Cricetulus griseus: one gene and its partner. The protein of the gene in region 2 purifies or fractionates together with the protein of the main gene of each other region. This does not show direct contact. Links are inferred from orthologs where the notes say so. Each region holds a gene or a part of one and is shown on either strand. Other genes may lie near its edges. The genes, in order: Rpp25l and inhibitor of Bruton tyrosine kinase.

Region 1 (6,708 bases), on a different chromosome or scaffold from region 2:
TTCCTCCCAACTCTGTGGGCACCATGGCCCTACTCTCTGGCTACTATTCATTCTTCATTTGTTCCTGTCTCACTCAGTGTGGAGGGACAGCCTCCCCTAGCTTGTGGATGCTTCTGGAGCCCACATTCTGCTACTGAAACTCCAAGTTCACAGTCGTCAGCGCACACTGGGCTTATAGCCTTGGTAGATCATGTCATCTCTCTGTTACAACTATTCAAACTCCCCGACTGCTTCCCATCCGTGTTTAATAACTCTTGCTTCATGATCAAAGGACTTCTGAACTCCCATATCCCACTGTCGCCTCCACACCGTCTGCACGCTTGCTTGCCCTCAACTCTTTCCCTTCTGTTACAGGAAGTCATCTTTGTTCCTACTTACATTTTTTAAATTTGCCTGTGTGTGCATTTGCAAGGAGGCCAGGGAAACTCGTGGAAGTCAGCTCTCTTTTTCCACATGGGTTCTGGGATTGAAATCAGGTTAAGCTTGGTGATGAGAGTCCATCCTGTGAGCCATCTCGCTGACCTCTGCACCTACATGTATGTCTGTGAACCACATGTGTGCCTGGTGCCTGCTGAGGTCACAAGAGGGTGAGATTGGAGTTGCAGACAGTTGTGAGCTGCATGGTGGGTCCCAGGAATTGAACAGGTGGTTTGTTTTGTTTTTCTTATTTATGTATATGGGTGTTTCATCTGCTTGTACATCTGCACCCCAGAAGAGGGCACCAGATCTCATTAGGACTACAGTTAAAGTTGGTTGTAAACTACCATGTAGCTGCTGGGAATGAACCTGGGTACTCTGGAAGAGCAGAGCTCGTAACTGCTGTGCTAATTCCCCAGCTCTATTCTACTTTTTGAAAGGGATATCCCCACATCTCCTTACCTTTTGTCCCCAGGGAAAGCTTTTTAAAGGCATTATGGAAGCAGGAACCACATTACAGTGGATTAAGGAGAAATGGGGACGTAAAGAACCATGTACAACCCTCAGGTTCTCTCCTAAGCTTGAGCTCACTTCCCAGGCTTCATCTCTGGTTCCCTCTGGGGCATTCCTCCTGAAGATGTCAGAGCCAGGCAGACTCTCTAGGTGCCAAAGGTTAGGGAAAGCACCCTAGAACCTGTTCTCTCAAGGGATTCTTACCACAGGTGCTTCCCTCTACACTCCTCCACACTCATTCTGGAACTCTCAGGTGGTTTCTATTTAAGCAGCCCAATTGGGAGTCCCTTTCTGATCTCCAGAGCTCATAGTTATCCTGAATCGCCCCTCCAACTTAGCTATTGTGTTTATTACATGCAATCTCTTCAACCTGCCAAAGCAAAGTGATCAGGATGAGATGCTAGGTCAAAAAAATATCAATAGCCTGCCGGGCAGTGGTGGCGCACGCCTTTAATCCCAGTACTTGGGAAGCAGAGGCAGGAAGATGTCTGTGAGTTTGAGGCCAGCCTGATCTACAGAGTGAGATCCAGGACAGGCTCCAAATCTACACAGATAAACCCTGTCTCAAAAAACAGACAAACAAAACCCCAAAACAACAAAATTTATCAATAACCTATAAGGAAATGTGGCCCAAAGTTCTGACAACAAAATATACACAGTGAAGATATTCAGAGCAGGGCATGGTGACACACTCGTTGAAGAGAGTAGTTGGTAGAAGCCGAAGAGTCTTTAGCTAAAAGCTTGAAGAGGTCAGGCAGTTGTTGGCAGTATAACACGGCACGGCAGTTTAACTGTCTTCAGCAGTTATGTTACCTGTTTCAGGATCCTCTGTATTTAAAGGGTCTGGTAGAGTAGCTACCGAGATTTCACCTCTCCCAATATCCTGACTTGCCCCTTTCCCTCAAGCCCCTTCTCACTGAGGGACAGCTTACCTTGGAAAGCAAAGGATGTAGTGTTTAAAGTTCAGGCCACAGTTCCATGGTCCTATGGTCACTCATCCCTCCTTGAAGCCCATATCAAGTCCTGAATTTCCCCAACTTTTTCCCATCATGCCAATCTCTCCTGCCCAGACTGAGAAAAACTGCCTAACACCTTCAACTAGCTGGATCCTGCTACATGAACCCAACAGAGCCCCAGTTTTATTTGCGTGTAATTGGACATCCAGGTTACTAGACACCCTGGAGAAAATCTTGATTCACAGTGTAGCTGATCAACTCTTGAGACCACTGCCGCTTACAATTCCACTCTATTACCTGGAGCCTGCTGACTACCAATATAACCATTCTCTCTCTTCAGATACCTGCAGTAAATCTGAATCCAAGGCCAAAGTGAGGCAGAAAAAAACAGCAATGGAAAAAAGGCAAGAATGACACCCAAAGAAAGATGTGGGATTGAGGTCTACTTTCAAGATAAAAAACAGCATGTCTGTAAACTTAAGTCACTTACAACATTTATATAGCATCAGGTGCTCAGGTGGTATCTGAGTGTCAAATATGGACACCTCTTTATAAGAACTCTAATGGGGGGGGGGCGGACTGGAGATGGCTCAGCAGTTAAGAGCACTGGCTGCTGTTTCAGAGGTCCTGGGTTCAATTCTCAGCACACACATGGCAGCTCACAATTGTATGTAACTCCAGCTCCAGGAAATCTGTCATCTTCACACCAATGAACATAAATTATTAAAAAAGAATGCCAATGAGGTAAACCCTCTACACCCCATTTTACAGATGGGAGCACAAAGGTCCAGGAAGTAGCTTTATCCAAAACTACAAAGCAGTAACTTGTGAGTGGGAGAGCCAGGACTAAAACCGTGACAGGCAAAGCCCGAGTTCATGATCCCACTATTCTAAAACATATGACACAGATGGGAGAAATGCCTGACCTGGTTGAGTCCCAAGCCAGCTTAAAGCAGGTGGCAAAAAGTCATGCAGGTGACTGCTTGAAATGTATTGACACCAGATCCACCCAGCAGCGGCCTCTACCTACCCTTCTGGCCTCCAGGCCATGAGCTCCGGGGCAAGGCGGGCCTCACACCCCTCCAATCCCACTTACACACAAGCAGGCCAAACAAATGGGCATGACCTTTATTTCCCTCTCCTAGACTGATGTCAAAAAAGGCAAGTCAGATATACTGTAGACAGAGTAAGCCCTTCTCAAGCAGTCTGTAACTCAGCACTGACCCCATATGCCCTTCATTCTTCATAGCATCCCGCATCCCAGGGGGGAGGGGAGGCAGGACTCCAGTGGACTCAAGCCTTGCTGGCATGTTAAGTGTCACACAAGCCCTTCTTACAGAAGGCACAGAGAATCAGGTCTAGAGTACAGTCAGGCTCAGCAGGTCTTCAGGACCGGGTGTCCCGAGCCCTTCTTCGGGGTCTGGGACCACAGCTAGGTATGGAGCCCAGGCCTGGGGGCGCTCCCGGGGGTTGGTAGCCACATTCACTGGGGTCCAAGGGGTCCCGACTGAGTAGCACCCACACTGCAGGCACGTGACGTCGAACTGTGAGGGGGTCTAGGCCTGTGTCTGGTGAGGTTGGGACCCAGCTGTCCTCAGTTTGCAGGAAACGAAGCTTGGTGAGTTGGTGGAGGCCTGGGACCCGCCGTTTGACAATCTCTGCACAGCTGACAGCCTTCCCAGCTGCCCGGCCAGAGCCTGAGAACACCACATGCCTTGTGCTCCCCCCCTCCAAACGACCCAAAGCCAGTCCTAGCAGGTTTCGGATTTTGCTCCCATCTCGGACTCGCATTTCCAGGGTGTCAGGAGGTAGCTGGGGCATTGGTGAAGATGCTGGGAGCTCTACAGAGCCAGCCCTCCGGTAGTGTTCCATTCTGCTCCGGTGGCCTTGGTGAATCTCTCTTGCTGTGCACTGGGGGAAGCGGTCAGATGAGTGTCAGGACTATGACCAGGTCCATCCTCCATCACTCCCTCCAGGATATACCCCTCACCCCAAGGCTGGAGAGTCTTACACACGGAAAGAACCAAACTCCCCCCACTCCCCAAACCAGGCTATCCGGGATAGGGCCATGCTTCATCAGCTCAAGCTTTTCAGGGCTAGGCCAGACCCCTCCTCACCCACAACTCTCTAAAACAGGAGCCTTTCCTCACTAGGCTTCCAAGGACTCGGACAAGCTCCTCTCACTGTGTGCTTCCAGGAAACAGAATCAAGACTTGGCCCCAGGCTGCCTGGGGCACAGCCACGAACTCTCACAAAGTACTCCCTAAAGAAAGAACCGGCCCCTCCGGGCTCTCGGCCGGCTGAGTAGACTTCATCCTTAGATTACCAGGGTTGGGGGGCTTGAGCCAGGCCATTCGGGAACTCGAGAGTGGGGGCTCGCACAGACCACTGCTCGGACCAAACATGGACGGTCTGGCGGGCTCCCCGGTCGTGGGCCGCTGTCCCAGGCAGCAGACATCCCCTTTCCCCACGTCTGAGTACCCAGGCCCTGGGATTTGGCTCTTACCACTACCGCCCGTCCACGCTCGACCCAAGATGGCGCGCAGACCGGGAGCGCACGGGGCCGCGGGAGCGCGCACGCAGGGGGCGGGGCCTGAGGGAAACCCGGGACGCCGTTGGGCTCAGCTGAGCTGGTACCCGCAGCTGGCCCGCATCCCGCGGTCCGCGGTGATGCCGAAGCACGCCAGAACCCGCAGAGGGCCCTGCCCGGGAGAGGAATGGCTATCGGAGGAGTCCTGAGCATGAAGAATGCGAATCTGTGCCCTTAAACGATGGATGGTGCGCGTCACCTGTTGACTCACCGCATCGGTGAAGGAGAAGCTGAAGCATTGGTGGATACAAGCGGGCGAGACCCTTAGTTCTGAGCTTTGTTCTCATCCTGGGGCACTGGACAACCCTGGTAGTCTTCAGAAGGGACTAAGCCATAACTTGTGCACAACTCATTGGCCATAGATTGGCGTATAGGCTAGGAGGATCCGGTAGTGGGGGCAACAGATACCGTGACCTTGGGAAGGGTCTGTACCCTGCACCATCATAACGCGTCAGGCGCGGGGGTAGGAGGGTGCCCACGGAACCTAGTACAGTACTCAGAGTGAAACAGGTTCTGCAACATCTGTCCAACATGTTGATTAACCACCGAAATGGCAAGAATTGAGAAGAGATTAATTAACTTGGTAAAAACTCGTAGGAAGTTCTGGGAAAGAGCCGGGAACTATTTGTTGGAATAGTCTAGGATGACTGCTAGTTTCAGATCGTTTTGGACAAGCTGCATTTTGCGTGCCAGCAAAACTACAAATTGGTTGGTCTACAGGCAGTTGAAGGAGCCGAGGCACTCCCTCAGGCCACAAGAGGGCAGCATACACTTGGTGGAGCGCGGTGCTTAAACTGTTCATCCAAGCTTTCCCATCATCTGCTCCTCCTTCCCAGATCCTAAAATTCACTGCATCCAAGCCTCTTGGCTCCTCTTCTGGTATTCGGTAGACACAAGGCTATGCTGCCTTGGCTCTGAACGTCCCTGCTTGTTCCTCCATGATCATCCTGGCATGCTGAGCCCCACCTGGTAGGACTACCACTTTCTTGGTCTTCCCCCAAACCCTATACAGAAATGAGGTGACCCTACCTGTGCCCTCCTTACGTGCCGTAGGATCTGATATTTAGAGGGCAGTTGGAAAATGTGGGATAAATATACAATGCCCCACTGTATCAATCAGATGCAAGAGTACTACATCTTTCAGAAGCTCGACCAGGAGTAGTTCCAGGTCCCACCCTGATAGTGACAGCTCTCCCCTTCACCATTCCAGTTCTCACAGCCAAGCCCATCTTAGATCAGCAAGCCAAAACACACCTTCAGCGGTAGCTACAGTTTATTGTCATTGGAATAAATACACTGATGGGGAGTGCAAATCATGACTCTAAGGTAACCTGATCTCTGACCTCAGAGCCCCAACTGAGCAGACAGGTAGTCTTTGAATTGAATAAATACAAAGCTGTCTCTGCCTCACAAAGACAGGGTGGCACAGGGCCCTGGAGCTGGCCCCCCTTTCCCTGGCCTGGCACAGTAAGCAACTGTCATTCTTCTGCTGGCTTCACTTGCTTGGCAGCCTCTAGCTGGCAGAGTAGTTCATCCCACTGCACGAATTGCTTGGAGAGAAGCATTGTCTGGTCAGAAGTCAAGGTGACAACAGGAGTGTGAATGAGGAAGCACAGAGATTTGGCATGTGCCCAAAGCGGTGAAGGCAGGAGAGGAGAGGAGAGAATGGGATGGGCGCATTAGGGGCAGCAGAAACAGGCTTTGGGAGAGGGCCCATTAAGCACAAAAGATACAGTCTTGTTATATTCCTCCAGGAGAGCCTTGGACTCCTCACTGATCTCCATACACTGGTCCTGTAGGCCAAAGCATAGCTTAGAAAGGAGTGGAATAATGCCTCATCTCCCACTGAACTCCTTCCCTCCAAACCTAAAAAAAGATGGTGCTTAAATAACCTAGAGCGAAAGGAGAAAACTGCAAAACAGGCACTTCCAATCCTAGGTCAGGTGCCCTGAACAGCAGCCCAAAGAGTAACTGGAGGGGCGGTTTCTACACATTAGGATCCCCTCCTCTTCTGTCCCTATGGTTTGTTTGTTTGCTTGTTCAAGACAGGGTTTCTTTGTGTAGCTTTGGAGCCTGTCCTGGAACTCAATTCTGTAGACCAGGCTGCCTTGGATCTGCCTGTCTCTGCCTCCTGAGTGCTGGGATTAAAAGCATGTGCCACCACCACCCGCTGTCCCTATGTTTTTAATGATTTATTTTCAGTTTATTTGTTAGGGTGTTTTCCGTGTGTGT
Region 2 (7,197 bases):
ATTACATTTTTTTTTTTTCGTTTTTAAATAGTGTTGCTACCTCCCTAATGCAAATTCGCAGGCATTTTTGGTCAGTGCCTCACTTCCTTGTTGAAATATTTTGATTTGTTTTTTATTGTGTTAGACCTACTTCATGGTAAATGTGGAGACAGAACTTTTTTTTTTTTAAACGTGTTTTCTAAAAAAGTGTTTGCAAAACTTTAGTCATATCGCAGTTTGAAGAAAAAGGTTGGCTATGTTGGTTTTCACTTTTAATAAAACTTTTTTGAAGGACTTTCGGTATGCTAATTTTTGTGTGATGATTTCACTTCCTTCTTAACTTTCAAGATGCTTCTGGATTGTAAACTTCTAGACTGAATGAGTGTACTTACTAAAGGATGTCGGTATGACTTGTTACTTTCAGTGACACAAATTAGTTTCTTATTACGGGGGACTACTGCTTTGCCACATCCGGATGCACTTATTGCCCCCTAAATTTTGGGCAGATTTTCTTTTATGAAAACGAGATAGATACTGACCTAAACTAAGTTTCTAGGTCTTTTACACAGAGAATATTTGAGAACGATATGAATTACAGTATCAATAGAACTAAATTATTTAAACCATTGTAAGTGCTTATTTTTAAAAATGTGTTTAGGTTTATAAAAACTTTTCTCTGATTATGACTTGTAATCTGCAGCTTGTAGCACTTACATTAATAAAGATACAGGTGTACAGGGGAGGTGTTTTGGTGTTAAAGAGCTCAGTGAAAACAGTCCTGCTTACTGATTGTGAAAATTAAGAGGAAGTATAACGTGCTTCCCTCCCATCCTGCAAGGACACATGTCAGCAAGGCATGTATCTCCAAGGGAGGTCATTGTCAGTAGCTCACAAAGGAAGAAATGGAGGAATAGGGACCTCGAGTCACTTGTCTATGGTTCTAGGTGTAGCAACCCCAAGGACAGTTTTTCTTGACTACACAGTGTTATATCCTATTGACATTCCTAAATGTTGTCTGAGAGCCAGTTGTTTAACAAGTGCCATCCAGGGCACTCCTCTCTCTGTATGATTTTTAGGTAGGCTACTTGTTTCCTCATGGTAAGGTAGTCATATTTATAGTCACTAGTAGGGTTGAAATGAGACTTCGTTACTTTAGGTAAAGCTCTGTATGTACATGTCCATATGAAAGTTCAAAAGATGGTAGATACTATTTTATAAGCACTGAAACGTAGCCTTTTAAAGATTTGGTTGACAAGTATTTCAAAAAGAAAGGGTCCTAATATAGTATAGATGTTTTCTGACTTATTTACCAAGATGTCTTAGAACAGGTCAAGAGATACCTTTAAATCTCCTTTTTACAAGTGAAAATATTGAAACTTAGAGAAAGTAAGTGGTATGTTCAGGGTCCTTAGGTAGTTATGTACTTGCCTTAACTAGCTTGGGTGTTCTGAATTCAGAATCTGAGCATTGTGTATTCTATTACACAGTCTTAGTTACTGTTCTGCTATTGTGAAACACCATGTCCAAAGTGACTTATAGACAATATTGAATTGTTATTAGCGTGCTTACAGTTTCAGGGTTAGTCCTTGATATTTTGACAAGGAGCATTGGCAGCAGGCATGCTGGCATGGCTCTGTAGCAGTAGTTCAGAGCTCAAGTCTGATCCTCCAAATAGAGGCAGAGAGACAGAGACACTGAGACTGGGCCTAGTGTGGGCTTTTGAAACTTCAAAGCCCACCCCCAATGACATACCTCTAACAAGGCCACACTTTCCCAACATAGCCACACCCTAACTCTGTTCAACTAAGTGAGGACCAGACATTAAACATTGGATCTTTTGGGGGCATTATCATTCATACCACCACAAATACCTGTGCCCATCTGAAACTCTACCTGGGCTTCCAACGGTATTTTTTTTCTTGTTTGAGAATTTCTTACATGCATATAGGGTCTTTTGATTAAACCTACTTTCCATTTCTTCCCCTCCAGTTCCTTCTCACCACTGTTCTCTTCCATTTTAATATCTTAAAAACAAACAAACAAACAAACTCACTTAGGCCACTTAATGCTGCCTGTATGTGTATGGGTGTAAGGCCATCTACTGGAGCATGGGTAGCCTCTCAGGAGCCACACCCCTGATGAAAGTGACTTTCTCCTATCAGCCATCAATTATTAGTAGCTCCTCAGCTAGGGAAGTGACTTCATGATTGCCTCCCTGCCCCATGCTAGGATTTTGTCTGGCTTTATCATGTTCATGCAGTCACAGTGGCTATGAGTTCATATGTGCAACCATCATGTTGTGTTCAGAAAATCACTGTTTTGCTGTATACTTCCTCTGGCTCTTAAATTATTTTATCTAGTCATCCACAATGCTCCCTGAGCCTTGGGAAGATGATCCAGAAACCTCATTTGGAAGTGAACATTCCACAGTCTCTTAAATGCTGCATGCTGACCTGCCCCGTGGCTCTCTGTGTTCATCACTATCTACTACTAAAAGATGCTGTGATGAAGGTTGAGAGATGCAGTGATCTATGGATATAATGAGAAGTCCTTAGAAGTCGGTTAAATGTTATTCTCATTTAGCAGAATAATAGTAGTAGATTCTCTGCTAGGGCCTATGACCTACCCAACCATTAATTGGCCCCATTAGTGGTGCCACATATGAGCTCCGTCTTATGAAACAAGCAATAAGTCCAATCAGAAAGTGTTTACTCCATAACATGTGTGCCACTATTACAACAGTGAACATATCTTGTCAGACTGGTTGTTGTAGTTCACAAAGTTCAGATGGGTAAGATTGTTGATTTAACTGTTAGTTAAAGCTGTTTTTAACATGTGAGACATTGTTTTTTTGTTTGTTTGCTTGTTTTTCCGCTTTCTTTTGTTTGGGATATATTAAGGGAGTAGGTGATTAGATTAGTTAAAAAATATAATTATACTCTTAATTATTGATGGATATAAGGCCAGTGAACCGTTGTTCAGGACTCAATGTTGACTGGCTAAAATCTTTGTGGTGGGACAGTCATTGGGGTTGAACCATTGCCAGTAGCTAAGCTGGCTAGCTATGCTTTGCCAGCTCAGTTTCTCTTCAGCATTTCATATGTATGTCATGTATAAGACAAAGTTTGATTTGTAATTTGTTTGTGCATTATTTACTACTGTGATAAGACATCATGACCAATACAACTTGTAAAAGAAGAGGTTTATTTGAGGTGATAGTTTCAGAGGGTTAGAGTCTATTATCATGGCAGAGCAAAAGCATGGTGGGAAGAATAGCTGAGAGCTAGCTCACATCTTTATCTGCAAGTAGGAGGCAGAGAGAGACAGTGGGAGTGGCTAGAGTCTTTTGAAACTTATAAACTGGTTCCCAGTTACATGTCTTTTCTGAGGCACACCTCATAATCTTTCCCAAAATGGGTCCACCAACTGGGGACCAATTATTAAAAAAATACAAATATGTGGGCCATTCCCATTCAAACCAGTATAGCTTGCTATGTTTGTTTCTGATTCCCTTACTTTTTTTTTTTTTTTTTTTTAATTAGCCCATCACCGAAGCCAGGAGCCTTGCCATTTTAGGATTTGGTGAAATGTCCACTTCAAGCACAAAATGCTCTCTAATATCTAACCCACCCTGATGTGGAACATGCAAGAGTGGGGTGGGTTTTAGAGCTTTGGAAGAACAAAATTAATGAGTTGACTATTTTGCTATATATTGTGCTTTTAGTTTTAACATTTTTTAAAAAGACTTATTTATTACCTATGAAGTATTCTGCGGGCCAGAAGAGGGTACCAGATCTCATTACAGGTGGTTGTGAGCCACCATGTGGTTGCTGGGAATTGAACTCAGGACCTCTGGAAGAGCAGTCAGTGCTCTTAACTACTGAGCCATCTCACCAGTCCTAGTTTTAGCATTTTAAACTACTGAAGGCATTGGTTCCTTTTTCTTGGTGCCATTTAAATGCCAAAGACTTTTATTCTTTTCTTTTAGTTTCAAACTAAGATTTTTGAAGTAGGTGGGTTTTTTGTTTGTTTGTTTGTTTGTTTTGTTTTTGTGGGAGTGTGTTCAATTAAAAACTGTATAGGTTTGCAGAAACAGACCTGGAGTTAGAATTAGAATTCAAGTAGTTCATTGCTCTCATCAGAATAGTCAGTGTCAGAAAGCCAGTTCCATGTAAGACTTCTGACTTTGATTGGGGTTTCAGGTGGGTATGGAAATAACATATCTAGACTCTTCGATATTTGTATCTAATATACTGGTTTCCACTGTACACACAGTGCACTTGTGCCTCACTCTAAAGAGTCTTGTAACTGTTTTGTTTGTTTGTTTTTTGTTTTTTGTTTTTGTTTTTGTTCCCAAAGAATAGATAGCAAGGAAAGGTTTTCACCCTACAAAGGAAAGGTTTACATACTATGTATTAGGGAAGGAAGATTTTCCTTTTTTTTTGTCTTTAACATTTTATATAGTTTTACTAGTTGTATTGAATCTCATCATCATTTTATACTTTGAGATTTCAGATCACACTTTCTGTGCATGGTGATTATAAACTAATTTGTATGTTTTCATGGCTGCATTTTTGTCTTTGTAAACCATCTAGAGTTTATATTAATATAGGTATAAAGTGTCAAAAATTATTTTTTCCAGATAGCTTTTCAGTTTTTCTGATACTCTTAGTTTAATTATTTCCCCCAATGACAAGAGGCCATTCAGGTGAGCAGACACATTGTCTGCCATGAAGTAAACCAGAGTAATGGGTTGTTTTGGTAATGGTTATGATGTAGTTTTTGGGGGTGGCCCGTTGGAAGACATTCTCTTGAAGATAATAGATGTGAAAGTGTTTGTAGCTTCTGGGGATGTAGCTTATAGAGTTTAAAGGTAGAGGAGGCAGTGAAAGAGACCAACATAGAAAGGTTAATAGCCTTTTTTTTTTTTTTAATGAATGAAAGGCATTTAGATGTGGAGCTATTTACATTGTAAAGTACTTCAAGAGAGTTAGATTTGTAATTTCGCTTTTCCTTTGTTTTCTTACAGGTCACCCTCGCAATTATGGATATTTGAAAGGCTCAGACGGTGTGGAGGGGGAGTTCCCCTCCTCACTCCCCCTTGGTGCTTGACTCTAGGAATAATTTCTAAACTGGGATTTTTTTTTAAATGAAGAACTTGTATTTGATATGAACTTTATAGAACTATTTATAACTTTTTGATTGAAGTGCCAAAAGATTATACAAAGATATATAGTTTTATATAATTGTTGTGACTATTTAAATACCCCAAAGGGTCATATCTTCTTGGTAATTCTTCTGAATATTATCTTTGGGTCCTATCTTTTTCATTTTTAAAATTCACTTCAGTGACTCTTCTGAAGGAGTAAGCAATACAAAAGCAATTATGATGGATTCTGCCACCCCTGACTGCACATCAAAATGCCGATCGCTGAAGCATGCTTTGGATGTCCTTTCTGTGGTAACAAAGGGGAGTGAGAACCAGATCAAGGCCTTCCTCTCCAGTCACTGTCACAATGCTGCAACTGTCAAGGATGCCTTTGGTAGGAATGCCCTGCACCTGGTCTCCTCCTGTGGGAAGAAAGGAGTGTTAGATTGGCTTATTGAGAAAGGAGTGGATTTGCTGGTGAAAGACAAGGAGTCAGGCTGGACAGCATTGCACAGGAGCATTTTTTATGGACATATTGATTGCACTTGGTCTCTGTTGAAGGTAAGTGTCAGTTTATCTAAAACTGACATTCACTTTTCTTTTCTTTTTCCTTTTTATTGAAAATGTACTCTCTCTCTCTACACACACACAAACTTTTTTTTTCTTTTCCTCCTACCTCCTCCCCATCTCCACTTCCATCCAGATCCACTTCCTTTCTGTCTCTGATTAGAAAGTAAACAAGCCACACCTTTAATCTAGGTTAATGCCTTTATTACCAGCACTTGGGAGACAAAAGCACCTAGGCAGATCTCTGAGTTTGAGGCCAACCTGGTCTACATTGTGAGTTCTAGGATAGCCAAAGCTATACAGTGAGGCCCTGCCTTGAAAAAAATACCAAAAAAGAAGGAAGGAAGGAAGAAAGAAAGAAAGCAAGCAGGCTTTTCTAGGATAATAATAAAATGAAGTATAATAAGATAAAACAAAAACTAACACATTGCAATTGAACAGAACAAATTGAAGGAAAAGAGCCCAAGAAAAGGCACAAGAAACAGAGAACTACTGGTTTCCACACTCAGGAGTCCCATAAAAAATTGCTAAACTGTAATCCATATTATATACATAAAGGACCTGTAGAGTAAAAAGATAGAAAAAATATAAGATAAATAAAAGTAAAGAATAGGTAAAATTTAAAAAAAAAATGTTTGGATATAACATTATAAGACAAAGAATCTCCAGTGTTGCCATTGAGTTTATTTTCTTTTGGCTATCTGCTGGACGCATAGCCTGCACTTAGGAGTAGTTTCTTTCCCCAGTGAGACTCCCTTGGAGAAAACTAAATTTGCAGGTGGTTGTCAATTGGAGTATAGCTTCTGGGTTAGGGGTGGGGGCATGTGTCTACTCCTCCTTTCAGCTCTGGACCCCCTCTGGTATTGAGTGTTGCAGGCTCAGTGCACGTTGCCCCAGTCTTTGTGAGTTCAGATGTATTTCAGTCCTGTTGTCTAGAAGGTCATGGTTCCTTGGTGTCCTCTGTCTTCTCTGGCTCTGACATTCTTTTCACCTCCTCTTCCACAGGATTTCCTGAACCCCGAGGGGAGGGATTTGATGGATCTATCCCATTTAGGGCTGAGTGTTCCAAGACCTCTCACTCTCTGCATATTGTCTGGCTGTGGGTCTTTGTATTTATTTCTATCTACTGCAGGAGGAAACTTCTCTAATGATGGCAGAGCAAGGCACACTGATCTGCTTCTGTAGCTGGAGTTTAGGCATGTGATTTTCTTAATCTATTTCATGTTGCATTTTCTAAGAGAAGTTTATATGTGTTTGATACTGTTACTGTTATAACTCATCTTTAGATTTAAAGTACCATAGATCTTATTTACTTATATGTTTTATGTAAAATTTCAAATATACATCAAAGCTCCCAACATATAATAATGAGCTGTTGTGCAATTTTATGTTGTGTGCACAGTATGTTATGTGCGCTGTATGTTAGTGTCAGAAGAAACCTTGGAAAGAATTTGTTTGAAAAAAGAATGATTCATGAATTGGACAGCACCTGATACCAGAGA

What was found.
Region 1: the proteins of inhibitor of Bruton tyrosine kinase (region 2) and Rpp25l purify together in Homo sapiens (co-immunoprecipitation; 3 studies listed by BioGRID and IntAct, with this or other methods). This does not show direct contact. The link is inferred for Cricetulus griseus from reciprocal best matches to the Homo sapiens genes IBTK and RPP25L.

The regions. Positions count from the first base shown.
Region 1 is NC_048595.1:100,886,974-100,893,681, reverse strand, and holds Rpp25l (ribonuclease P protein subunit p25-like protein), read right to left. Parts: upstream 4,382-6,708; 5' UTR 4,345-4,381; coding exon 4,213-4,344; intron 4,197-4,212; exon of another isoform or gene 4,004-4,196; intron 3,798-4,003; coding exon 3,273-3,797; 3' UTR 3,000-3,272; downstream 1-2,999. Other genes in the region: Dctn3 (dynactin subunit 3), read right to left, coding at 5,955-6,044, 6,210-6,269. UniProt on the Homo sapiens protein: May be a component of ribonuclease P or MRP.
Region 2 is NC_048597.1:195,936,660-195,943,856, reverse strand, and holds part of inhibitor of Bruton tyrosine kinase, read left to right. Parts: intron 1-5,008; 5' UTR 5,009-5,365; coding exon 5,366-5,689; intron 5,690-7,197. UniProt on the Homo sapiens protein: Acts as an inhibitor of BTK tyrosine kinase activity, thereby playing a role in B-cell development. Down-regulates BTK kinase activity, leading to interference with BTK-mediated calcium mobilization and NF-kappa-B-driven transcription.